Coturnix japonica: one gene and its partners. The protein of the gene in region 1 purifies or fractionates together with the protein of each later gene. This does not show direct contact. Links are inferred from orthologs where the notes say so. Each region holds a gene or a part of one and is shown in the gene's direction. Other genes may lie near its edges.

Region 1 (3,927 bases):
CTGGAAGAGCAGCGTTGTGATACAGCTCATCCCCGCCATGGTCTGCAACCTCTGCTGCCAAGAACAGGATCTACCTGGGGAGCTGTGGGTCAAGGAGCTTCTCCTGATGGGATTTAACTCTCCACAGGGAGCTCATTATTCACGTTCTGTTTTCTAGTTCAACTTATTTTTAGTTGACAGAAACAGCTGCGACGGGGAGAACAAGGAACAGAAGCTGACAGTGTGATCAGCACTTCAGCTCACAGCACTGCCCAGTTCAAAAAGATCAATATTCCTTCATTTTTCTGTCATTTTCCATGTCCTGCCGGGCATGTCCGCACTGCAGCACTGCAACCCTCCGGCCCAGACACTGAGCTGCACACTGAGCTGCACACAGAGTTGCACACTGAGATGCACATTGTGTTGCACATTGTGTTGCACATTGTGTTGCACACTGAGTTACACACTGAGCTGCACTGAGCTGCACATTGGGTTGCACATTGTGTTGCACACTGAGTTGCACATTGTGTTGCACACTGAGTTGCACATTGGGCTGCACACTGAGCACACACTGAGCTGCACACTGGGTTGCACATTGAGCACACACTGAGCTGCACATTGGGTTGCACATTGTGTTGCACACTGAGCTGCACATTGGGCTGCACACTGAGTTGCACATTGGGTTGCACAGTGAGTTGCACACTGGGTTGCACACTGGGTTACACACTGAGTTGCACATTGTGTTGCACACTGAGCTGCACACTGGGTTGCACATTGAGCACACACTGAGTGCACACTGTGTTGCACACGGAGCTGTCAGCGCTGCAGCCCCGTTCTCACACGGATGTATCCGGTCCCTCCCGCTCCCACCCGCCATGTCCGCCCGGTCCCGCCGCGCGGTGGCAGCCCGCAGGCCGCTCTCTCCTCACGCATGCGCAGTACCCGCCGCGCTCCAGACCCGCCAACCGCCCCAGTTCGAATTCGCATCCTCGCCGTCCAATGGCGGCGCGCGGGGCGGGGTGGGTCCCACCTCCCGTCATCCTCCCGACCAATCAGGAGCCGCGCTGTGTTTGAAAAGAGCTGCGCGCGCCCTGTGGGCGTGGCTCTGCGGGTCCGTCCCGCGCTGTGGGCGGAGCCAGCGCCGGGTCCCGCCGTGTGTGTGGGCGGGGGCGGCCGCGCCTCGCGCTGGTTCCCGGCCCCGCGCTGAGCCGGGGGGGCGCGGCCTCGTGCGGGAATCGCCGCCCCGTGCGGTATCGCCGCCCCTCACGGCCGCTGAGTTGGGTCGGAGCCGCTTCGGGTGCCGGGTCGGTGCGTTCGGTCCGCGAGGATGAAGGCGGGCGGTGAGTGCGGGCCGCGCGCCTTCCTGCCTCCCTGCCTGCGTTCCTTCGGTCCGCGCGGCTCCTGTGAGCGCTGTGCGGGAGGAGCGGGGTGATGCGGGATGGGGGGGGGCGGCGGGGACATGGAGGGACATGGAGGGACATGGAGGGACATGGAGGGGCGGGGGGAGCCGCAGCGGGGCGGCGGTTCGCCCCGAGACGCGGCAGTGCCGCTCCGTGCCGCTCTATCGGTGCCGCTCTATCGGTGCCGCTCTATCGGTGCCGCTCCGTGCCGCTCTATCGGTGCCGCTCTATCGGTGCCGCTCCGTGCGGGGCCGTGAGCGGTGCCGGGCGCTGTGTGAGCGGTAGGAAGCGCCCCGGGCCGTCCCCGTGCTGCCGATCGCTCTCAGCGCTGTTTGCCGCCCGCGAACCGCCCGGCCCGTCCCTGAGCGCCCCGCTGTGCTGTGGGAGCGGTGACTGACGGTGACTGACGGTGGCTGGGCGCCCATCGCGGCCCGTTGCCTCTCGCCCCGCTGTGTCCGTGCGCTTCGTGCCGGTTCCGCTCATCGTTTGGGTTCCTGCTGTTTGTTGGTTATATTGACTCGGTGTTTGTGGCTCCCGGTGCCGGCGGACCCGGCTGCTCGCGGCGGGTATCGCCCTGTGCCGGCACAACGGATGGGAGCCTCGGGCCGTTCTGTCCCTGCCCGCGTTACTCTGTTCTTCCCGGCCCCCCCTCGTCCCTCGGCTCATTCCCGTCTCTCGGATGTGCTGGGGCTGAGCTCTCAACCCGAACGTTGCTGCAGGGCCGTGCTGTGCGCTGTGAGATGATGGAACTGGCTGTGAGGGGTCTGCCAGCAGCACCGCCCACAGCGATGGGCTTTGGACTCGGGTGGCTCAATGGGCCTTTACCTTCCTAATCCCTCCGGTCACGTTTCAAGGACTGTTATCAATTGATAAGAAGTTGTAGCCTGGGGGAGGTACATGGAAATGCAGCAGTGACAGCTGAGCTCAGTGCAGCCAAACGATGGGGTCAGGGCGATGTGCTCAGTGATGGGGGTGCGCCGTCCCTTCTGGGCACCTGCCTTGAATTGGCTGAACTGAACGAGTCATTTCTTTATGGTTTGGTCCTCCAGTGTCCTGTGCTGCAAGCTGAGTTTCTATGGTTGATGTGCTTGAAGATGCACTCTACTTAATTAAACACACATTCTGTATGCGCCTTTTTCCTCTTGCTGTTCTGTCACTAACCGTGGTGTTGTTTTTGTTCTGCAGTGGTTCACTGCCGCTGTTCCAGGTGCTTCTCTTTCCCTTCCAAGCGAAAGATAAGAAAACGGCCCCGAGTCCTGACGCTGCTGAGTCTGCCTGAGGATGTTCTCCTTCATGTTCTGAAAGACCTTCCCACTGAGGACATCCTCTTGCTCAGAGCAGTGAGTGCCGGCCCCTCCTGCCACGCACTGCCTTAGTTCTGCCCCTGGAGCCAGAAGTGCACAGAGGAATGCCTACATCCAAGGAGCTGTGAGGAGAGCTAGAAAATACATGCAGTGTACAGATATTTGCTGTCCTAGGAAGAGAGTTATGATGAGCTGTGATTAATTAGTTGCCTATCTAAAATTAGATCACCAACTATTTTTTTGCTGATCCCTTTATTTTAATAATAACTTGATGCTTCCCTTCATACCTTGTAGGTGCATTCCCATCTGAAATACCTCGTGGATCATCACGCCGGTGTTTGGGCATGTGCAAGCTTTGAAGACGTATGGCCGTCTCCAAAAAATCTGACGGTGTTTGAAAGGTGAGCTTTAAGCATCAGCATCCCTTTGAGGTTGTAGAGGAGAGTGTTTCGTGCCACATGTACAATTCTAATCAGTCTTCACTGTAAGTGGTGAATCTGACTGTGCTTATTTGTGCAAGTCTCTGTATGGAGTGATGAGGGTAGCTGGCTTTGTGTCTAAGCTGTGAATAATAGCTGCTGCTGTGTTAATTGGAGCAGGGCCTACGGCATACGTGGAAGTTATTCCTCTAAGGGCATTACTGTTACTTGTTTGAATGTAACACATGAACTGAAATCCTGTTACTGGTGCTTCCATATAAACAAGCAAGTGAGATGAAAGACCACAGTTCTAAGTCTTGGTTGTTTTGCTCAAACCGATGTACTGAAAAATAAGTGAAATTGAATATATTAAAGCATGTGCAGAAGGAAAGTGCCTTTTTATCCACCTGATTTGAAGGAGATGGGTTCACATGAATGTCATACTAGTTGTTTTGTTCCTTTCATGTCTGCTCTGATGCATGTATTTTCTTTTTGAAGAAAGGCATTGTCTGAAAATAGATCTGTCAGGCACGTCCCTGAGTGTGCAAGTACCTAAACCTACTTTCTTGCACTGGAGATGTTGCATGGGACTGAGAAACGATTCCTGGAGCTGTCAGATGGTCCTGGGCACAGATGTGGCTTTTCTTGCTGCAATATTTTCATTCATCGTAACTCACTTGTAACTTCTGTAGTGAAGTCAGTTGTGCTTGTGGTTGATGGACAACAAACTCACAGCCAGGCCTTCACTCAAGTAGCTTGTCTGATGTGGAAGCTCCTATTGATTTAATCCTGAAGTATTTTCTCTGTTCCCATTCAGGGCTGCTG
Region 2 (4,680 bases), on another chromosome or scaffold:
TTTACTGATCTAACTGAAGTTAGAAATAGGCCCGAGTACTCCCTGTTTATCTGTTTTGCTTGTTGGTTTGTTTAATCATGAGGTTATATTTAAATGGCCATTGATGGCGGTTTTTCACCCCAAGTGCTTTTGGGAGAGAGAACAAACAGCTGATCGTTATGGAGTTTGTTTGTACCCACGAGCACACTTAACCCAGAGCAGCAAATAGTTATTGTATTGCATTTTCTTTCTTTCCTGTGGGCACACTTAACTCGATATACATGATGGTTAGTACCACGGTACTGCATTTGTCTGCACCCATGGGCACTGTGAATTGCCAGCGTGAGACAACTGGTGTATTAACTAGCTGCTGGCCCGCTGGTGTAGTTACTTCAAGGGCAACACTGTTGTTATCTGCTTAACTTAAATCGAACAGTCATGCAAAATAACAGTAGGAAAATGCTGCAAGAATCCCAGCTTTTACAGAAAAAAGATAGTTACATTTGCTCACTGCCCTCCCCTGGCTCTTACCTGCACAAATCTAGCACAGGGTTGATGTTTACTCTGCTCATTAATAAAACTAGCAGCAGATGCTTTGTCAGATAGAGGTCACTTTGGCTGAATGCCACGGCAACCTCTTCAAATAGCGTTGATTGCTAAACTATAGCTTTGACTTGGAATGGTGCAGTAGGTAATGTTGACATGCTGCAATTACCGCTCAGTCCTCACGGCGTGTTCAGACAACACCGACTACCTCCGTGCTGACTTGGCAACACCAGAACTGGGTTTGGGACGTGTCTTGTGGATGGCTGGAAAATGTAGGAATTTCAAGAGAACGCCTACATGGAGCATTAGCTTATCTCGTCAGCTTGTGTCTTGTCAGCTGCTCTCAGAACTCTGTTGGAAAATGGTAATTAAATGATAAGGCTGAGTCTAAAGCTACCGGGGCACAGATGGGCCAAGTTTCAGTGGTGCCAGAGCCAAGTTTTGCAGTTGTAAGTTTTAAGTGGGAGCTTTAAATACTCAGCAATTCTCTGTGTCGATGCAAGGAACTGGATTGGCCCTACCTAGCAGGAGTCACCTACCTTTACTAACAAGATTGCTTCTTTTTGTTCTTTTTAAGGACAGTGGTACAAGGGGAGTCAATCTGGGTGTGAGCACAGCCTGTGTGTGATCAGAGGCACCAAGAACAGGTGAGATGGGAGCTGTAAGGTGCTGCTTTCCTTACTACAGCACAGCACAGTGCTGTATTGTATTGTATTGTACAATTGTATTGTATTGCTGATTGAGCCACCCTTATCTGGCTGCCCACACACAGCTCAGCACAGACACTGTCCTGCGTGGGGTTCTTACCTTATGGAGCCAGAGCAACAGCAGCAACAACACGAGTGTCCATTAGTTATCATGGCCTGGGACTCAGGAGATCACTATGCAGCATATGGAGGCTTAACTTCCCATTAACTAAATAGAAACTGGGCTTAGGAAGAACTAAACAGCAAGCAGTGTTACAACAGCGAGCATCACCTGCTCTAAACAGCTCCAAACCGCCCCGACCCGACCCGCACCGCCATGACGGACACCGCCACCTGAGGGAGGCGCACAGGGCGGGAACGCCTCACGCCGCTCCCGGCAGCCCCCGCGTGGCTCGGCCCGAACCACGGCCCATTGCGGGGTAACGGCACGCACAGCCCGGCTCCGGTTCTGTCGGCCCGTGCCATTCCGGGACGTCGGGCTGCAGCTCCTGTTCGTCTCGCAGGAGCCGCGCCTCGATCCCGGCTCCCTCCCGCTGCCGGCCGACACGCCCCGATCTTCCCCTCCGCCTCACAGTGGTTCGCCCCGCCGCCCGGCCGCCATTTTGTGCGGCGCGTTGGAGGCGCTGAGGGCTGAGGACGCGGCGCTGCATTCCCGCCCGGTGAGACGGGTAGGAGCGGGGCGGCCGGGGCTGGGAATGAGGGCGGCGGGGATCGGGCTGTGAGCTCTGAGCTCCGAGCTGTGAGCTGTGAGCCCTGAGCTGTCCCGTGGGCTGTTCTGCACTTCCCGGCCCTGTGGGGGCTCTGAGCCCGGTGTTGCCGCTGCGGGGCCTGCGCCGCTCGGGGCGGGGCGAGGCGGGTCGTGCCCTGCCGTTGTGCCGCTCGGTGCCGCTCTGTGCCCCGCTGGGCCCGAGGCGCGTTGTTGGGGCTGTTATTGATGCGTGTTTCTCTCTCACGCTTCAGTGACTTGCAGCGAACATGTCGGAGTACATCCGGGTCACGGAGGACGAGAACGATGAGCCCATCGAGATCCCGTCGGAGGATGACGGCACCGTGCTGCTCTCCACCGTCACGGCGCAGTTCCCCGGGGCCTGTGGGCTGCGTTACCGCAACCCGGTATCGCAATGTATGCGGGGCGTGCGGCTGGTGGAGGGCATCCTGCACGCACCTGAGGCCGGCTGGGGAAACCTGGTCTATGTCGTGAACTACCCCAAAGGTTCGTGCTGTGCCTTTGTGTTTCCATATGAGTGCGCTTTGTAGTCCAGAGATCGATGTGTGTGACAGCAATTGACTTGTGTTCATCCTGCAGGTGAAGTTGAGCCCGCTGGGTTTTCAGATGCACTCAGAGCTTCAATTCTTTAGCTGCAGAAGGGCTTAGATGACAGTTTTATGTTGTGCTTGGGAGAGTTGCAGCCTCATTAGAACTTGTAAAGATGCTGGTGCTGTGTGTACTCACAGACACTTCTCTTCAAGCCGTGCTTTGGTCACAGCTACGTGAGACAAATCCAACCAAAAGCACTCCAAAATAATTAGAAATAGCCTTCTCATTAAATATCGTTGTCAAAAACCCATCTTGTTCCCATCCTCAGTAAACATTACTGGGTGGTCCTTGAGTAAACTAACACAAAACTAACTCAGAATGCATTGATAGGAGGACTTGGTCATTTATAGGAGGACTTGGTAGGTCGTTCTTTCTTCACGCTTGCAGACAGTTGGCTGTGGGTTGTAATGATAACCTCCAACAGCTGCCATGTGTTCTTCCGCTGTCTGCACTTCCTCTTAGTGTTGTCTGGTTTTATACCGCGCTGTTCAAGATTAGTGGAAGGGGTTTCTAAAGTTAGGAGGATGATTTCTAACGTACATCGTTATATTCAGATAATAAGAGAAAAATGGATGAAACAGATGCATCTTCAGCCGTGAAGGTAAAACGAGCAGTACAGAAGACTTCGGACTTGATAGTCCTAGGTTTACCTTGGAAAACCACAGAACAAGACTTAAAGGAATACTTCAGTACATTTGGAGAAGTCCTCATGGTGCAGGTAAAATACTTTTTGAGTATGGAAAGATGTTAAGTAGAAATCAGGGTTCTGATGATAGAAAGTAGAAAGGAGCAGATCTGAAGCTGTGTGCCTTAGAGCTTTGTAGTGTGGGTACAGATGGGAATATTTGGGAGTGGTAATCCACGCAGATCTGCCTAATGGGTACAATGTATTAACAGCTCTTTAGTTTATGTTGCTGATTGTCACAGCTGAGTATATGTCTTATTTTTCAGGCTTTAAAACAAAGCTTTACTAAATTAATTCAGGAACAGCATGTTGCATGCTCTAGGTTACCTCTGTCACCACTGCCTGGCTCTGTCCTGCATGCAGCTGTGTGTGCTTGCATTGTTTATATAGCAGGTCTGGCCGTGTCATTACAGTGTTACAAAGTAATTATACCCTGATGCTGATCCTGCTGTTTTAGTAACTAATACTGGGGCTCAAAGCAGTCAGAATGCATTAAATTTGTAGGTGTCAGAAGCTTGTGCTGTGACTGCATAATAGCAGGGTTAGTATCATAGGAAAAGGTAGTTGTATACAAGGGGGGTAATCAGAGATCTGGCTGTATCCTTTCTGGTGATGATATCAAGATTGATACAGAAGATGATAGGTAAATAGCATGCCATTAATGTCACCAACACAAGCACGGTGCTACTGTGTTCTGTTTTAAAGTCCGCTCTTTTTTATCCTAGGTTAAAAAGGATATTAAGACTGGTCACTCAAAGGGTTTCGGTTTTGTTCGTTTTACGGATTATGAAACCCAGGTTAAGGTCATGTCCCAGCGACACATGATAGATGGCAGATGGTGTGACTGTAAACTTCCCAACTCTAAGGTACTTTCATATTTATGACTACCTTTGTTTTGCCTAACATTCACAACTTCACTTCTATAGCCACTGTGCGAAGTGAGCAGATGAACACGTTAATAAAAGCCCTATTCGTGGTTTTGGAGTCTGAGTAAACAGGATAAAGAAAATAGAGGAGGTGGGTGAACAGGAAGTGAATGAGACGTGTTGGGGATATAGCTAGTTATATCTGCACTCAGTTTTCCAATATGAAGTACAAAATAATGTGTTATTAACATCCAGCAGTTTGTTATTTATCATGCCTGCCACATGAAACTATGGAATATCAGAATGAGTCTGTTCTGATCATGCGGATATGCAGTTAAATGTGCAGCACAGTGACGTGTCCTGCACTGGCCTTGTCACTGCCCATAACTGACTACCTTTATTTCCCTGTTCCCATCTGTACCGAGTTGCACACGTGCTCTCTGAACAGAGTTTCAGAAGTCTGAAGCTTACAAATTAAAACTTCCTTATCTTCAGTCTTCTGAACGGTTGGTCTTCATGTTGAAGTTTCCATTCATTAATTATACTTCTCTCTCCACTTCCCTTCAGCAAAGTCCCGAC
Region 3 (4,738 bases), on another chromosome or scaffold:
ATTATGTTTCTGGCCAATTAAAAATACTTCAAATCAAGAAATATTAGTATTGCATGCTATTTTCATACAAAGTCACGTGGAAACCTTACTTTCTCCATTTGATCCTTTAAGGTCACAGCAGGAAATTTCACCTTAGAAGCTTCGATTATCATTTTGCTTTTTAAGAGATAACTGGAAAACAAGTGGGGAAAAACAAGAAAAACAGTTGCAAACAAGAAGTTGCACTCATTTAGACAGACTATTTAAGCTGATTTTAAAGCAGATAAAACTATTCCCTAAAGTTCTCCATAGAATAACATGTTTACTTCCAAATCATGAAGTCCTCTTGGTATCTGCTATTGAGGCACTGGCACAGGTTGCTCAGAGCTGAGGTGGATGTTCTGTCCCTGGAGACACTCCAGGTCAGGCTGGACCAGGCTCTGAGCACCCTGCTCTGGCTGTAGGTGTCCCTGTTAGGAGCAGGGGAGTTGGACTAGATGATGAGATGGCCTGTAAAGGCCCCTTCCAACTCAAACTATTCTGTGATTCTATAATCAGATCCATCTATCGCAGACTTGTTTTGATAGCTCACGTTAGTTAAGTGGACCTGGAACTGAAGGAGTCTCAGCACCGCAAATAGCTCAATTAAAACTTTGATGTAAGATAAGGAGACTCAAAAAGTACAAGGTAGATCAGATGGAATTATGACAACATAAAACAAGAACAGAACATTAACATCCCACAGTGATGCTCTGAGTCAGAAATAAAGCAGCTTTTGTTAGGTATGTTGGCTGTATTCAGCTGGAATAACTTGCAGCTTGCCATGAAGTCCCTGACCATCAGAAGCCAGGGCAGGGCACCTACCAGAAGATGCTGTCCTTGAAGAAACAGAAGAAGCCTCGGAGATAGGCCAGCTCTCTGAAGGCAGAATAAAGAACAATGCCCACAGCCGAGCCACACGACCGACAGGACAGTGTGTTGTACGTACTGAAAGGAAACACAAAACAATTATATTATTAAAAAAAAAGCTTCTGAAAGCACGGATACTGCTGCTCACTTGTCAGAGGGCACTGCATCGCTGCCTCTGTCAGGGCAGTAAAACACGTAAGACTGCAGTGCACTGTATAAGGGCATTCAACGTGCTGTATAAGGCTGTTGCTACGCACCATCCCGTCAGGGCTCCATCCAGTCCGACCAAGAGCGTCTCCTCGCACAGCACGTTGCCGGTGACTCCTGCGGACAGAGGATTAGCTCGTGTAGCAGCAGCGCGTGGCCCCATCCCCGCCCCGTCCCGCAGCACTGACTGAGGCACACGAGGAGCCCGAGGCGCTGCTCCTCCATGGCGCACAGATGCAGCGAGTCGCTCAGCACGGCCCAGCACCCGCGGCACTGGAACACGGCGGAATCCTCCGGCCGCAGCTCGCAACACCGCGGCGCCTCCGGAGCCGGAGCAGGTGGAGCCGGGGGAGGCTCAGGGGGGAGCGGCCGCTCCACCACGATCGTGCCGCGGATCTGCGGCTCCTCCAAGAACCGCTGCGGCTCCTCGAAGAAGCGCTGCAGGTGCCGCCTCACCGCCATCTCCGCCGCTGGAGCGCGTCTCCCGCCTCCTCCACCTCGCCATGAGGGCGCTGCTATTGGGCAGTAAAGCCGTCAATCCTCGCCTCGTTCTGCCGCCCAATCAAGAAGGAGAGGGCGAGAATTACGGCCCCGAGTTTCCGGGGCCAATCGCGCTTGAAAAACACAGCGCTGGGGGCTACGGCGGCCAGTGGGCGATCACAGTGCGGTTAATCCCGCCTCCCTCACCCGGCCAAACCAATGGCAGGACGCGGCGGGCCAGTTCGAACGGCGGGGGCGGGAGCGAGGAGCTGCGCGTCGGTTAAGCGCGAGATTCGAAGAGCGGCGGTTGGCGGAGCAGCGATGATGGCGCTGCCCTCACAGCTCCAGGCCTTGGACGCGCTCAAGTACGTGGAGCTGCAGCAGGTCGCCAAGGCTGCCGGCCTGAAGGCCAACCTCAGGGTGAGCGGGGGAACGAGGGGCTCACAAACGTCTGTGCGGGCTGGGGCTGGGTTTGGGATTGGGCAGCGTCCTGTTTGTTTGATGGCTCCGTGCAGCGTTTAGTTCATGTGCTGCTTTGCTTTCTTTCTCTGCAGGCAGATAAACTGCTGAAAGCGCTGAAGCAGCACTTCCAAGGAAGAGTGCAAGGAAATGAAAATACGGTAATAAATAATAAGGCAGCCCTTCTTTTTCAGAAAGAACACTTTGTTAAACTTTGTTACTTTGTTGTGCTCTACCGTTTACAAATATTGGTTTTTTAGCACGATGTTAATTGTAATAAAAGCACTTTTTTATAGTGCTTTTAGTTTAATGTGCTCACACGTTGATAGATATGTGAACGTTTGATACGCCCTCTTAAGCAACAGAAGGCATTAATTCTGCCTTAAATGTATCTGTTAGTATCAGTACAAAACTATTCCCTGTAAACACTAAGGTTTAAGTTCTGTACTAACTAAACCCCAAGTATTTTACATCTGCAATTCAGTTAAACTGGCATTATAACAAAAGCAAAAGAGAAAGCAGCAGAGAGACCTCATTGGAGCTTTACAGTATTCAAAGGGAGCTTATAAACATGAAGGAAATCAGCTTTTTACGTGGGTACATAGTGACAAGACAAGGAGGGAATGGTTGTGAACTAAAGGAAGGGAGATTTAGATTAGATGTTGGGGAAGATTTTTAACTGACAGTGATGAAGTGATGGAACGAGCTGCCCAGAGGGGGATGTGCCCAGTTGCCTGCAGGATACTGTGACCTTGGAGGTTTCAAGGCCAGGCTGGATGAGGCCCTGGGCCCATCCCCATATTTGCTGAATATAAGGTCTACAATTATTTTATTATGTAGCTTTTCCATGAAAATGGAGTGAAGGTGTTTCAGGAAATCTAGATACTGCTAGTTACTCTACTACTTAAGCATACTCTTGCATTCACCTGTGTGAAGTGCCTTCTCCACCACTAGTGTTGAAGCTGCCCCTTCGGAGTACTTATCTCTTGTGTGTCTATTACATGTTATGGTGCTTTTCTGATACAGAGTTCTGAAAAAAGTGCATCTCCTTCAATGGACTCTGAATTTATACCTAATCCAGCATGTTTCGTCACAAAAAGATGTAAAGAAAAGAAAGCAACCAGGAAAAAGAAGAGCTCTGATATGGAAATTAATGACAGTGAAGAAAACACAGGGTCTTCTGCTGAGATGGAGGTAATTTGTGTTGCTTTCTTTTGTGTGTCTGTGTCTTCCAATGAAACTGGAGTTTTAAAAACAAAAAGGCTTGATTAATTGTGCTACCAGATTAGCAGGTAAGGGTTTCATTTTTGTATGCAGGTGTACAGAAAACAAGTACTTTCTACCACAGGTCTTGTCTAATTGGACTGCACGCTACTCCATAATGAACAGGAATGACTTGTGTGATTAGTCTAAAAATAGAAATCCTCCTGAGGAAATGCATGGTTACCTACGCTGGGTGTAGGACTGATTTCACTAGTTCATCGTAGTATCTGAATATTAAGCAGCTTCGGGATTTGGATGAGTGAGAGGGTGAAGTCAAACCTGTGCAGAAAACTTCATGGTAGAGGGAGTTAGAGGGAAAAGATGAGATGAGAGGCATTGGTCTTCACAGCATGAGTAAATGAAAGCCAGTGGTAACTAAAGCTGTAATAGTCAAAAGCAATGTAGAAATTGAGTAATTTTTTTCTTGAATATAGTTTTGTTAATAAAAGGAACGTTATGCTGAAATGTTTCAATCATGCAGATTAGAGCCTTAATACTGATAATTATAAACATTTCCTAGGTTAAATTCAGTTGCATTTCAGAAAGTCTCTTGCTCAATCTCCCCCTGAAAGCAGGGCATGCTATGAGGTGAAATCATACTGCTTGGGGCTTTACATAAGCTGTTTTTTTTTATAACTTTTTTTTATACACCACCTCTCTAGACACCCATTTCACTGACTAGCTGCTCTCAGAACGAGATCCTTTCCTTATACCCGGTTGGAACAAATTGTTTAATGAAGTATGCTTAACTGCAGGGGCATTCCGAAACAAAAGAGAATGAGGTGCCTCAAGTTGACTGTGAAAAGGGAAAGATGGTATTCCAAAATGTGGAACAAGTTACTAAAAAAATTGCTAATGAGAATCCAAGAGTGGTGGCTGCTGAGAAGACAAAGAAGACTTCTACTAAAAGCACTAGAGCAGAATGTAAGTAAAAACTTCCTTAAAAATAAGCTTTGTAGTACTTCAAATTTGCAGACAAAAAATAACCTAAAAAGTAAATGTCTTAGTGCCATGTTTAGTGATCTTTACCTTTCTGAAAATGCCAGGAAATGACCCGGAGAGGCAGCGTGAAGGTTGGGGGGGGGGGGGGGGTTAGAGGGGCTTGTTTAGGATCAGTGCCTTCTGGAATATGCCTTGTTATTCTTTCTTTGGATGAGTGGGCTTTGTCATTGCCTTCTTGGGGGTAGAGCCAGAGCTAGTATAAAACGATATGCAGACAATGCCCTTGTTAGTTTGTTAACACACAAATATTGTTAGGCAGTATAATGGTGGATTGCTTTTATGTCTGATTTTCTTGATCTTAGAGCATGATGCTACTGAAAATATGGTCTCGCTTCTCCTCTAGTCCTTTGTGCGAGCAGCTGACCTAGAGAGGAATTAAGTTTATCTTTCCTATCTTGATTAATAGATTCGCAACAAATCACTGGACACAGCCCATTAT
Region 4 (4,684 bases), on another chromosome or scaffold:
TCTCCATGCTCTTAGCTCAGGTTAAAGCCTTCAAGCTCTCCCTCTTTCCCATGTCTTTTCCTTGGAGCACTGAGGGGCTCCCCATCCCCATTTTTTAAATCAGCCCAACATCCTCACTGTCATACACTGGGACTCTTCTGTCCCAGTCATATTTCCCTGTCACAGCTGATGGCTGGGCACAATGAGGGGCTGAGATGTCCTCTGCAGAGACAGAGTTATTTGTTGAGCCTAGAACCATGCTTCCCGTTGCTCTTTTTCATGCATGAGGAAAGGCTGTTTGCAGTAGGTTGGGCACAGTCATTAAGTACCATGGTTTTTGCAAGCACCTGGTAACCTGCATGTTGGTTTTGAGTCATGACGGTTGGTTGTTATTTTATCTTCAAGTTATCAAGCAGCTTGAGGTGCAATACCATGAGAAAGAAAGAGCAGCAATTAGTCACCATCCCATGAAATGCTGCAACTCGTTCCTCTCTCTGAATCTCATCTGTTCATCTTAGTCAGATTATGGGGAGCGGGAGGCTTCATTTCTCACCTGAGGTTTTAGTAACAGATTGAAAAAACAATGGCACTACATGGGAATATAATGTGACCATCATCTAGAAAACACACAGAGGCAGAGGGATTGGGTTCATGCAGAAACCAACCATGATCTGGGCCAAAAAACTATGGGATATATTGCTTAATCTACCCCTCTGGCTCTGTTCTTAGAATTCAAATTTTCTCTGAGCACTCCAGATCAGCTGGGGATGCTACAGAGTATTGAAGTTCCATGATATTCATGAACTCTGAGAAGTTTTGTGGCAATGTGGAAAGACGGTAAATGAGGTACCATTTGTGATGCTGTCTGTCTGGACACTCACAACAGCAAAGGCAAACTTAGCCAAATCAATTACTTTTAGTGGCATCAGCAATGGAGGGCAGCCAGCCAGCCCTACAGTTCTTTAAGGAGTTATAAAATGCACTTCATTTTTATAACCTCTGTACAATAAAGTATTGCTCTAAAAAGTGTTTCGGAGCACATGAATTCCTGCTTTCTTTCAGAACATTTTCATTCCTGAGTGCATCCTGAGCGCCCCAGAGACATCCCACACCACTGGGGTAGCACTGAGGCTGATATGGTACAAAGGATATGCAGCTCAGCTCAGCCCACCTGAGGGGCTGGGAAGGGAGCAAGGGCTGAAGAGCAAGGCAACCTCCTCCCTTAAAAAGGCTCTGCCGGGGACGGAGGGGTGTGTGTGGGGGGGGGGGGGGGGGGGTAAGGGCAGGCCCTGGCGGAAGCCCCGCCTACACCTTCCGCTCACACCTCCCTGCGGCCCCTTCCGCCGCGCATGCGCACAGAGCGGAACGGCCTATTCACGCATCCAAAATGGCGGCTGCGATGGATGTGGACACCCCCAGCGGCACCAACAGCGGCGCCGGCAAGAAGCGCTTCGAAGTGAAGAAAGTGAGACCTGCTGGCGTGGCGCGCTCTACCCGGCCGGTCCCAGCGGGAGGAGGGAGGTCGGGAGCGGCCAGGTGGCCGCGAGCGGGTCGGGGCGCTGAGCCGCTTTCCGCGCCCCCTCACGGAGCCGGGCGTTGCTTCCGCACCGGCACCGCCGTATGAGGGGAGGGGGGGGCGGTGCTTGCGGAGTCTATTGGCGTGTGTCGGGGCCAATGGGTGAGACGGGTCTCCGCGCGTGGAACGGAGGTTGGCCAATCAGAGGGCGCGACCACGCGGGGAGGAGGAGGGAGAGAGGCGAGGCGGGGCTAGTTCTGGCTGGGCCCCGCCGCCCAGAGCCGAGGGTAATGCCGGGCTTAGGGGCGAGTCGGTGCGCTGCTGTTGCCTCCTCAGTCCCGGCTGCTTTGGCTCAGTTGTCTTAGTGGCCCTACGTGATGTGAAGGGAGCTTTGCACGCATTTGTGTGGCTGCTTCTTTTTGTATTCTTCACAAATCAACTCGTAGGTGACCAACAAATGCTGTCTTGTCATCCCGGTTTGCTTTGCTTCCCCCAAACAACCATAATATCCCTCTTTGGCCTAACAACCATAATATCCCTCTTTGACCTACCCTCTCCAGTGTGGCTGCGAGCTGAATGGTGGTGAAAGATCCCAAGTTCACTTCAACGAGGCCCGGAGGTGGTTAGGAGCACTTTGTGGGAGCACTTTTGATATTGTATATTTTTTGCAATGAAAATGATTCAGGAGTCGCTGAGGGGCAAAGTTAGAGGTGATTCTGGTTGTTGGCCCCAGCTGCTCTGAGGGATGATTACTGGGAAAACAGCTACAAACAAGAGAAGTTCCAAACTGAGGATGTGGCGTGAGATGCATTCTTGCCTCCAGATTATGAATTGAAATGCAGATGTTTGCATTTGTATGGCAAAAAAAAGAGAGTGGGACTAGTATCAATTGTTTCTGAGACTGGAAGGAGGCACTGAGTGTGAGAGGTATCTGAGAAAGAATTACTCTGGTGCTGTAAGGTGTGTGTCTTTTAATATCCTAACCTTATCATTTCAGAAAGAAAGAGGATCTTGAGGAATAATGAGGATTTCCATGTGTTATATGTTGAATAAAATTTATGTTTCTCTTTTTTCCCCCCTCACTCTAGTGGAATGCAGTAGCTCTGTGGGCGTGGGACATTGTGGTTGATAACTGTGCCATCTGCAGAAACCATATTATGGATCTATGTAAGTAAATGATGGGGAAGCGTGCTTACAGTTTTGACATGTACAAGATTCACAGTTGAAATTTCCACTGCTCAGGGTGCATTTCAGCAAATCTGGTTTTCAGTTCAGAATGAAGTCTTTCGGTAACACTATAAACTCTGTTCTATGTAGTGCTCAAGTTCTGCTTTCTGTGTCTGACTGACCAGAAAAGATTCAGGCCACTGAATTTTTGACTCCTCATTCTGCCAAAGCTACTTTGCCTAAATTAGGGTTATAGTGTGGGGAATTCTGTGGCCAGCTAGAGAATCCGTTTGTTATCTATGAAGAGAATAATCTAATGCCTAAACCAACACCAAGCATTGCTAGTACTAATTCACCTTTTTTTTCCCCCCTGTATGGTCCCAACAGTCCTGTTAACAAATACACTTACTATTTAGGAAAACAAAGTGGTAGTAGGAGTAAGTATAAAAAATTCTACTGTGAAATAGGTATCCATATATAAAGTCACCGGCTTTGGTCTAATTGAGGATTGGCAATAAGAACAGAGCCATTTTTTTTTCCCCTCAAATCTTTGGCAATATATGGTTGGCACCGTAACTGTCCATGTTCTTTCAATGATAAGATACAGAACACCTTTTAACATCCCCCAGATAGGAAGTCACCTGTACTACTAAAATGGGAGGATTGTGGTACCTCAAAAAGCAAGACCTTCAGTACCTGACAAGGGCTAGTCATGATTTCTTTGTGGTCGCTTTGTTTCACTTTCTTCTTAGTAGCCCTTGCAAGTACAGCTGATGGTAACTTACTGTTAGTGAGCCAATGTGATAATATAAAAGAGCAGGGGAAAAGAAAAAGAGGCTGTGCAGTGTACCATGCAGGGCTGAAAGGGGATTAAGCAAGCTGACTTCTTTGCTTTGAGTCAGATGTGTTCTATTTTGAGCCAGCTGCTGCCTGTCCATCGCTCACTTTATTCTTGATCATTAGAAGAGGAATGGTAGCACTAAAGGCAAGCAGGTGAGAGGAGTGGTTGTGACATGTGCTGAGGACCTCTGACATAGTGCTTTACAGTTAAGAATTGAGGTTGGGTGGAATTGAAAGAATATAGACGTGTTAGGAAGAACTTCAAAGGAAGAGAGCACAGGTAACTTAGTTTTTGTTTTGTTTTGCTTTTTGAGTTGCTCAAGCATAACACCTTATTAGTTAGGGCATAATCAATGCTATCAAAAGCCCAAACTGCAAATGATGGACCAAAATTGACAGTATACAGAGTAGAAGCGGTATCTAAATTGGTGTTCTGAGTTCAGCCTTGGCTCTGGATTTACTTACTTCCTTGTTAACGATCATTAATGATGTTAAGCAACATCTTAATTAGATTTTCAAACCGAAGATGTGAAGTGATGGGAAATAGAGAAAAAATTACTAGATTGTGCAGGGAAGAACAACACAAGATTCAGTTTGATAAAGTGCAGGGCAGGAATGTCTCCCTCTCCCACTGATGAGGAGAAACCTTAAAAGGGAAAACATTACAATGGTGATAAGTAACACCAGCCACGCTAATGGAAGATTGTTAACATTATGAAGTCGAGCATCCAAAAGTTAGGATATAACAATGTTAAGGTTTCGTGCAGTCTTGCTAATGCACATACATTACGACTTGGCTGCTAATACTAAGGACAAAGGATTCCCCTGGCCCTCACTATGGCTCATGTTCGGCACATAGAAGGGATGAGTAGATTTTCAGTGGTTTTTGTTCATTTCTGAAAGGGCCCAGAATGTATTTAGATTTTCTTTGTGCAACATCCTTGATTTCTTTCAAGGTTTATTCCCTGCTGCAATGGTTGCAATGGGGCAAGTTTGGGGAATGTTGAGAAACACCATGATCATATAGTGGGTTGTCCTCTAAGTGGAATGTAGTACTGCAAGGTGACTGGTGTGCTTTGAACTGTGTGAAATGTGGCATCAAAATAGTGGACTCTCTCTGATAGAAGATGGAAAGTATCAATGTGATATTCTGGTGTCACAGAGATGGACAAATTGATTAGA
Region 5 (4,838 bases), on another chromosome or scaffold:
CCCTGTCCCCGCTGCAGGGCTGGGGGATGTTGCTGTTGTTCCCATTGTGCCACTGCTCTGATGCTGACCCTGCTCTCCTTGCAGCCCCGCCGCCCCCACCACCCATGCTGCGGAATGGGGGGCGTGATGCCCCCCCGCCCCCACCCCCCTACAGACTGCATGGTTCCACTGAGCCCCCCAGCCGTGGGAAGCCGCCCCCACCGCCCACCCGGACGCCTGCAGGACCCCCCCCACCCCCACCACCAGTGAGGAACGGGCACCGGGACTCCATTGCCACTGTCAGAGCATTCCTGGGTGAGTGGGGCTGGGGGGGCTGGGGGGAGCCCTGGGGGTCCCAGGCAGAGCTGACACTTCAGCCTTGACTCCCATCTGCAGCCTGTTCCTGACCCGCCTGGTTTTTGTTTCTCTGCAGATGACTTTGAATCCAAATACTCATTTCACCCCGTCGAAGACTTTCCAGCCCCAGAAGAATATAAATACTTCCAGAGAATCTACCCCAGCAAAACAAACAGAGGTAGGAGGGGCACAGCGTCCCATGGTCCCCACCGTGCCCTGCAGTGCTCGGTCCTTGTCCTGCTCCCAGCCCAGCGCTGTGGCCTTTCCCCTGGGCTCCCCATGTGTGGATGCTGGCTGTGCTGGCAGCTTGCTGCCCCTGTGCTGGGGGCGTTTGGTGCTGGAGGGCTGTGCAGGGCCCTCCCTTTGAAGCGCTGCAATGGGGCAGGTGGGTTTAGGAGCCTCCCATTGCCCCAGCACTGCCTGCATCCCCATCGTTCCACGCTGGCTGCGGCACATCCTGCACGGAGCGTTGCCGTGCTGCAGTGCCAGCCCTGCGGATCCCGGGGGGGACTCTGGGGAGAGCGGCTGCCGGGTTATTTTTAGAGCCATGAATGTTTAATGTGGATTTGAAAGGCCCCGAGCTCTGTGTGCTGCAGCGGCTGCTGCTCACATCACAGCGCTGGAGTGGCACGAAGGGGGGGTTTGATGCTGGTTGTGCAGCCCTGGTTTCTCACCTCGTTCTCTCCTTGCAGCCACGCGCGGGGCCCCCCCGCTGCCCCCCATCCCCAGGTGAGGCCGAGCCGGTGCCGCTCGGTGCTGAGCGCAGCCCGGAGCTGCTCCCGCCTCCAGCCGGACCCACCCCATGAACCTGCATGAGAATCCCGGCACCTTCAGCGCCCCCGGGACACGGGACGCACCGACCCCCATCGGCTCCATCCCACGCGGCTCCCGGCCCCGCAGCCCCAGGTTGGAGCCCGGGATGGACACGGACACGGGCTGAGCCGGGGGGTCCCGTGGGGTGGGACCGTGGGGTGGGACCCACGGGGGGAGCTGTGACACCGGGACACGGGGGGTGTGTGGGCTGCGTGGGGGCTGCGGGCTCTGACCGTGCGGGGCTCGTTGGACGGTTCGGGTCCATTCGGGACGTTGTGAAGCTGCGGCGGGGACGGAACCGAACCGGAACCGGAACCGAACCGTGTGGGGCTGTTCGGTATCACGTGGGATCCCCCCGGGGTGGGGGGGCACTAAAGGGCGCCCTGAGCGCTGCGCTCAGACATGGGGGGATGGGACACGGAACCGGGATATTGGAACTGAGTTAATAAAGGAGATAACGGAGATAACGGAGATAACGGAGCGACATGGCCGGGATGGGGGGGAGATATGGGGGGGGCGGGGCTTCCCGCGCTCTGGACTACATCTCCCGGTGTGCAGCGCGCCTTCGCCCGCGCCTCCCGGCGTGCCCCGCGCGCTGCCGCCCATTGGCCGCTCTATGCCCCGCCCCGCCGGAGGTTTGGCGCGAGATCTCGCGGTTGGCGCCGGCGCCGTGAGAAGCGGCCAATGGAGTGAAGGGGGCGGGGCCTGGCCGGGCTGGTGGCGGGAAGTGCGGAGCTGAGGGGTGAATTGGCGCGAGAGGGTGAGTGGGGAGCGGGGGGAATGGGATGGGATGGGATCGGATCGGAATGGGATGGGGATGGGATGGGATGGGGCACGGCTGTGGGGCTGCGGCAGGGCAGGGGGGCTCGTGTGGGATGGTGCTGTGAGGACATGGGGGTCTGACTTGTGGGGCGGGCTGTGGATAAGGGCAGCAGTTTCGGGTCTCGCTGTGGGGCTGCGCTCCGTGGAGCGGGGCTGGGGGCTGAGGGGGGCTGCGTGGGGCCGCTGTGGGTTGGGGGCTGCGTGGGGCTGGTTGTGGGGCGGGGGCAGCTCGGGTGGTTCCGCCGTGACCGCCCCGATCCCCGCAGGCCGCAGCCATGTCCGCCGCCCGCCCGCAGCTCCAACCCACCATCGCGTTCCCCCGGCGGAGAAGCGCCCGCTGTGCCGCCAAGATCCCCCCGGCCGCCCCCGGCCCCACAGACCCCGCCGTTCTCCGCCTGTCGCCGCCGTCCCCGCGGGGCTCAGCGCTGCCCCTCAGCCCCCGCAAACGCCTGGGTAAGAAGCGCTGCCCCCCCGGGTGGGGGCGGCCCCGACACTGAGCGCCGTGACGTGACGTGGGGCTGCGTTGTCCCCGCTCACACGCGGCTCCTGCAGGCGATGACAACCTGTGCAACGTGCCCCACGTCACGCCGTGCTCCCCGGCCAAGCGCTGCAAGGAGAACCGCGGCTGCAGGGCGCTGTTCGGGGACCCCGCGGCCTCCCCAGCAAAGCAGAACAGCCCGGGACCGGCCAACCCACAGCACAGGCAGGAGACACCGCAGGGCTCGAGACGCAGCTCAGGGCCGACCCGCAGCCTCTTCAGGCAGGAAGGTGCGTGTGGATGGTGGCACGGCCCGTCCATAGAACTGTGAGCAGCCCCGGCCCGTTGCCCACCCTCACCCCCTGGTTTCTCCCCCTTTGCCATAGGAACATGTTACCAACAGGCCAAGCGGGTGCTGCACGTGGCGGTGCCCGAGCGCCTGCATGGCCGTGAGCGGGAGGTGGGCACCATCCGGCAGTTCCTGCGGGACCACCTGGCTGCACGGCGCCCCGGCAGCCTGTACATCGCAGGAGCACCCGGCACCGGGAAAACAGCCTGTGTGAGCTGCGTGCTGCGGGACGGAGGGGTGAGTGACAGACCCAGAACGTGGGGACGGCGTCTGGCACCTCCAGCCTCAGCCCCAGCCCTGGGATCCCATCTGCTCCTCACTGCGCTCATGGGCTTTGCAGTGCATGAAGCTCAGAGTGAGCACATGGGGTGCTTCTATGGGACTATATATGGTGGGCAGTGGGATGCAGACACCCCGATGTGACTCTGCCCCGTCCCTGCAGGACGAGCTGTCGGGCAGCCGCAGCGCGGTGCTGAACTGCATGGCACTGAGCAGTGCACACGCCGTGTTCCCTGCGGTGGCGGAGCAGCTGGGGCTGCCCACGGCCGGGGCAGGCGGCAGGGAGCTGGTACGGCGACTGGAGCGGCAACTGACGGCCAAAGGACCCATGTTGTGAGTCACCCTATGGGGTGGGGTGGAAGGGGACAGAGGGGGCACGGCTGGGGCGGGTGTCCCTGTGTCCCCAGTGGGGCTGTGGGCTGACTGTGTGCTGACTGTGTGTCCCACAGGCTGCTGGTGCTGGATGAGATGGACCAGCTGGGCAGCAGGGCACAGGACGTGCTCTACACCATCTTCGAGTGGCCACGGCTGCCCGGCTCCCGCCTGGTCCTCATTGGTGAGCACACACTCCCACCCCCTGTACATCAGGGCCCCACGGCCCCCACACTGGATCCCCCTGCCCTCCTCACCCCACTGTGCTCTGTAGGGTTGGCCAACGCACTGGACCTCACCGAGCGCCTGCTGGCCCGTCTGCACGCCCCCCCACTGCCCGCCCCACACCTGCTGCGCTTCGCCCCATACAGCCGAGAGCAGCTGGGTGCCATCCTGCACGGCCGCCTCCAGCAGCTGCAGGGTGGCCCCGTCCTCGAGCCCAGCGCCCTGCAGTTCTGTGCACGGAAGGTCTCTGCTGTGTCCGGTGATGCACGTAAAGCACTCGATGTCTGCAGGTGAGTTTCTGACCCGCAGTGTTTGGTGATGCAGGGCCAGGCCCAGCCGTGCTGCACAGCCCCATTGCTGCTCCCCAGCACTTCCTGCTATGGAGCTTCTCCCAGCTCTGAGCATGGGGGTGTGGGGGGCATGCAGCAGTGTGATGTGCTGGGACAGCATGGTGTTGTGTTGTGGCCTGGGGGGTCCGATCCCACCTTTGGGTGCTGACGGGGCTGTGTCCTCAGGCGCGCTGTGGAGCTGGTGGAGCTGGACGTGCGGAGCCAAACGCTGCTTCAACCACTGCCTGGGGGTGAGTGACCGACCCCTGAGGGGGCACCGACCCCTTGGTCCCATCTGGGGTCTCTGTGCCTCTGCCCATCTCGCGGTGCCTGAAGCCCTTCCCCCCTCTGCAGGTGACCCCACAGCGGCGCCGTGCCCCGTCCCCAAGAGAGTGGGGCTCCCGCAGGTGTCCCGCGTCCTCTCGGAGGTGTTTGGGGACAGGATGGCACCGTGCAGCCCTGGGGCTGGCGACGCATTCCCACTGCAGCAGAAGGTCCTGGTGTGTTCCCTGCTGCTGCTCACCCGGCACCTGCGCACACGCCAGGTCACCCTGGGCAAGGTGAGTGGTGGCCGTGGCCTCCCCAGTGTCCCTTGGGTTCCCCCACAGCCTCCATCATCCCTGAGCTCCCCAGCGTTTCAGGGTTCACTGTTGTCCCCTTGATGTCCCTGGGCTCCCCGCTGTCCCCATTCTCCCCTGGCTGCATTAACACTCGCTGCCCTCCCAGCTCCACGACGCTTACAGCCGCGTGTGCCGGCGGCAGCAGCTCCCTGCAGTGGACCAGGCTGAGTGTCTGTCCCTGGTCACCCTGCTGGAGTCCCGTGGGGTGCTGGAGC

What was found. Proteins that work in one complex are often made in the same cells at the same time.
Region 2: the proteins of CCNF (region 1) and TARDBP purify together in Homo sapiens (affinity purification with western blotting; 3 studies listed by BioGRID, with this or other methods). This does not show direct contact. The link is inferred for Coturnix japonica from reciprocal best matches to the Homo sapiens genes CCNF and TARDBP.
Region 3: the proteins of CCNF (region 1) and NUSAP1 purify together in Homo sapiens (affinity purification with mass spectrometry; 3 studies listed by BioGRID, with this or other methods). This does not show direct contact. The link is inferred for Coturnix japonica from reciprocal best matches to the Homo sapiens genes CCNF and NUSAP1.
Region 4: the proteins of CCNF (region 1) and RBX1 purify together in Homo sapiens (affinity purification with western blotting, with the first as the bait; 4 studies listed by BioGRID). This does not show direct contact. The link is inferred for Coturnix japonica from reciprocal best matches to the Homo sapiens genes CCNF and RBX1.
Region 5: the proteins of CCNF (region 1) and CDC6 purify together in Homo sapiens (affinity purification with western blotting; 4 studies listed by BioGRID and IntAct, with this or other methods). This does not show direct contact. The link is inferred for Coturnix japonica from reciprocal best matches to the Homo sapiens genes CCNF and CDC6.

The regions. Positions count from the first base shown.
Region 1 is NC_029529.1:12,341,611-12,345,537, forward strand, and holds the start of CCNF (cyclin-F), read left to right. Parts: upstream 1-1,127; 5' UTR 1,128-1,306; coding exon 1,307-1,319; intron 1,320-2,564; coding exon 2,565-2,719; intron 2,720-2,977; coding exon 2,978-3,084; intron 3,085-3,919; coding exon 3,920-3,927. UniProt on the Homo sapiens protein: Substrate recognition component of a SCF (SKP1-CUL1-F-box protein) E3 ubiquitin-protein ligase complex which mediates the ubiquitination and subsequent proteasomal degradation of target proteins.
Region 2 is NC_029536.1:3,498,242-3,502,921, forward strand, and holds the start of TARDBP (TAR DNA-binding protein 43), read left to right. Parts: upstream 1-1,634; 5' UTR 1,635-1,900; intron 1,901-2,192; 5' UTR 2,193-2,207; coding exon 2,208-2,445; intron 2,446-3,104; coding exon 3,105-3,268; intron 3,269-3,960; coding exon 3,961-4,101; intron 4,102-4,668; coding exon 4,669-4,680. UniProt on the Homo sapiens protein: RNA-binding protein that is involved in various steps of RNA biogenesis and processing.
Region 3 is NC_029520.1:21,982,911-21,987,648, forward strand, and holds the start of NUSAP1 (nucleolar and spindle-associated protein 1), read left to right. Parts: upstream 1-1,692; 5' UTR 1,693-1,794; coding exon 1,795-1,995; intron 1,996-2,129; coding exon 2,130-2,195; intron 2,196-3,060; coding exon 3,061-3,228; intron 3,229-4,052; coding exon 4,053-4,221; intron 4,222-4,738. Other genes in the region: OIP5 (protein Mis18-beta), read right to left, coding at 90-171, 844-966, 1,146-1,212, 1,284-1,557. UniProt on the Homo sapiens protein: Microtubule-associated protein with the capacity to bundle and stabilize microtubules. May associate with chromosomes and promote the organization of mitotic spindle microtubules around them.
Region 4 is NC_029516.1:45,482,352-45,487,035, reverse strand, and holds the start of RBX1 (E3 ubiquitin-protein ligase RBX1), read left to right. Parts: upstream 1-1,638; 5' UTR 1,639-1,653; coding exon 1,654-1,782; intron 1,783-2,583; coding exon 2,584-2,662; intron 2,663-4,684. UniProt on the Homo sapiens protein: E3 ubiquitin ligase component of multiple cullin-RING-based E3 ubiquitin-protein ligase (CRLs) complexes which mediate the ubiquitination and subsequent proteasomal degradation of target proteins, including proteins involved in cell cycle progression, signal transduction, transcription and transcription-coupled nucleotide excision repair.
Region 5 is NC_029542.1:4,070,589-4,075,426, forward strand, and holds the start of CDC6 (cell division control protein 6 homolog), read left to right. Parts: upstream 1-1,792; 5' UTR 1,793-1,909; intron 1,910-2,236; 5' UTR 2,237-2,246; coding exon 2,247-2,424; intron 2,425-2,523; coding exon 2,524-2,739; intron 2,740-2,835; coding exon 2,836-3,035; intron 3,036-3,240; coding exon 3,241-3,410; intron 3,411-3,526; coding exon 3,527-3,633; intron 3,634-3,723; coding exon 3,724-3,964; intron 3,965-4,189; coding exon 4,190-4,254; intron 4,255-4,357; coding exon 4,358-4,563; intron 4,564-4,729; coding exon 4,730-4,838. Other genes in the region: WIPF2 (WAS/WASL-interacting protein family member 2), read left to right, coding at 85-294, 413-514, 1,029-1,069. UniProt on the Homo sapiens protein: Involved in the initiation of DNA replication. Also participates in checkpoint controls that ensure DNA replication is completed before mitosis is initiated.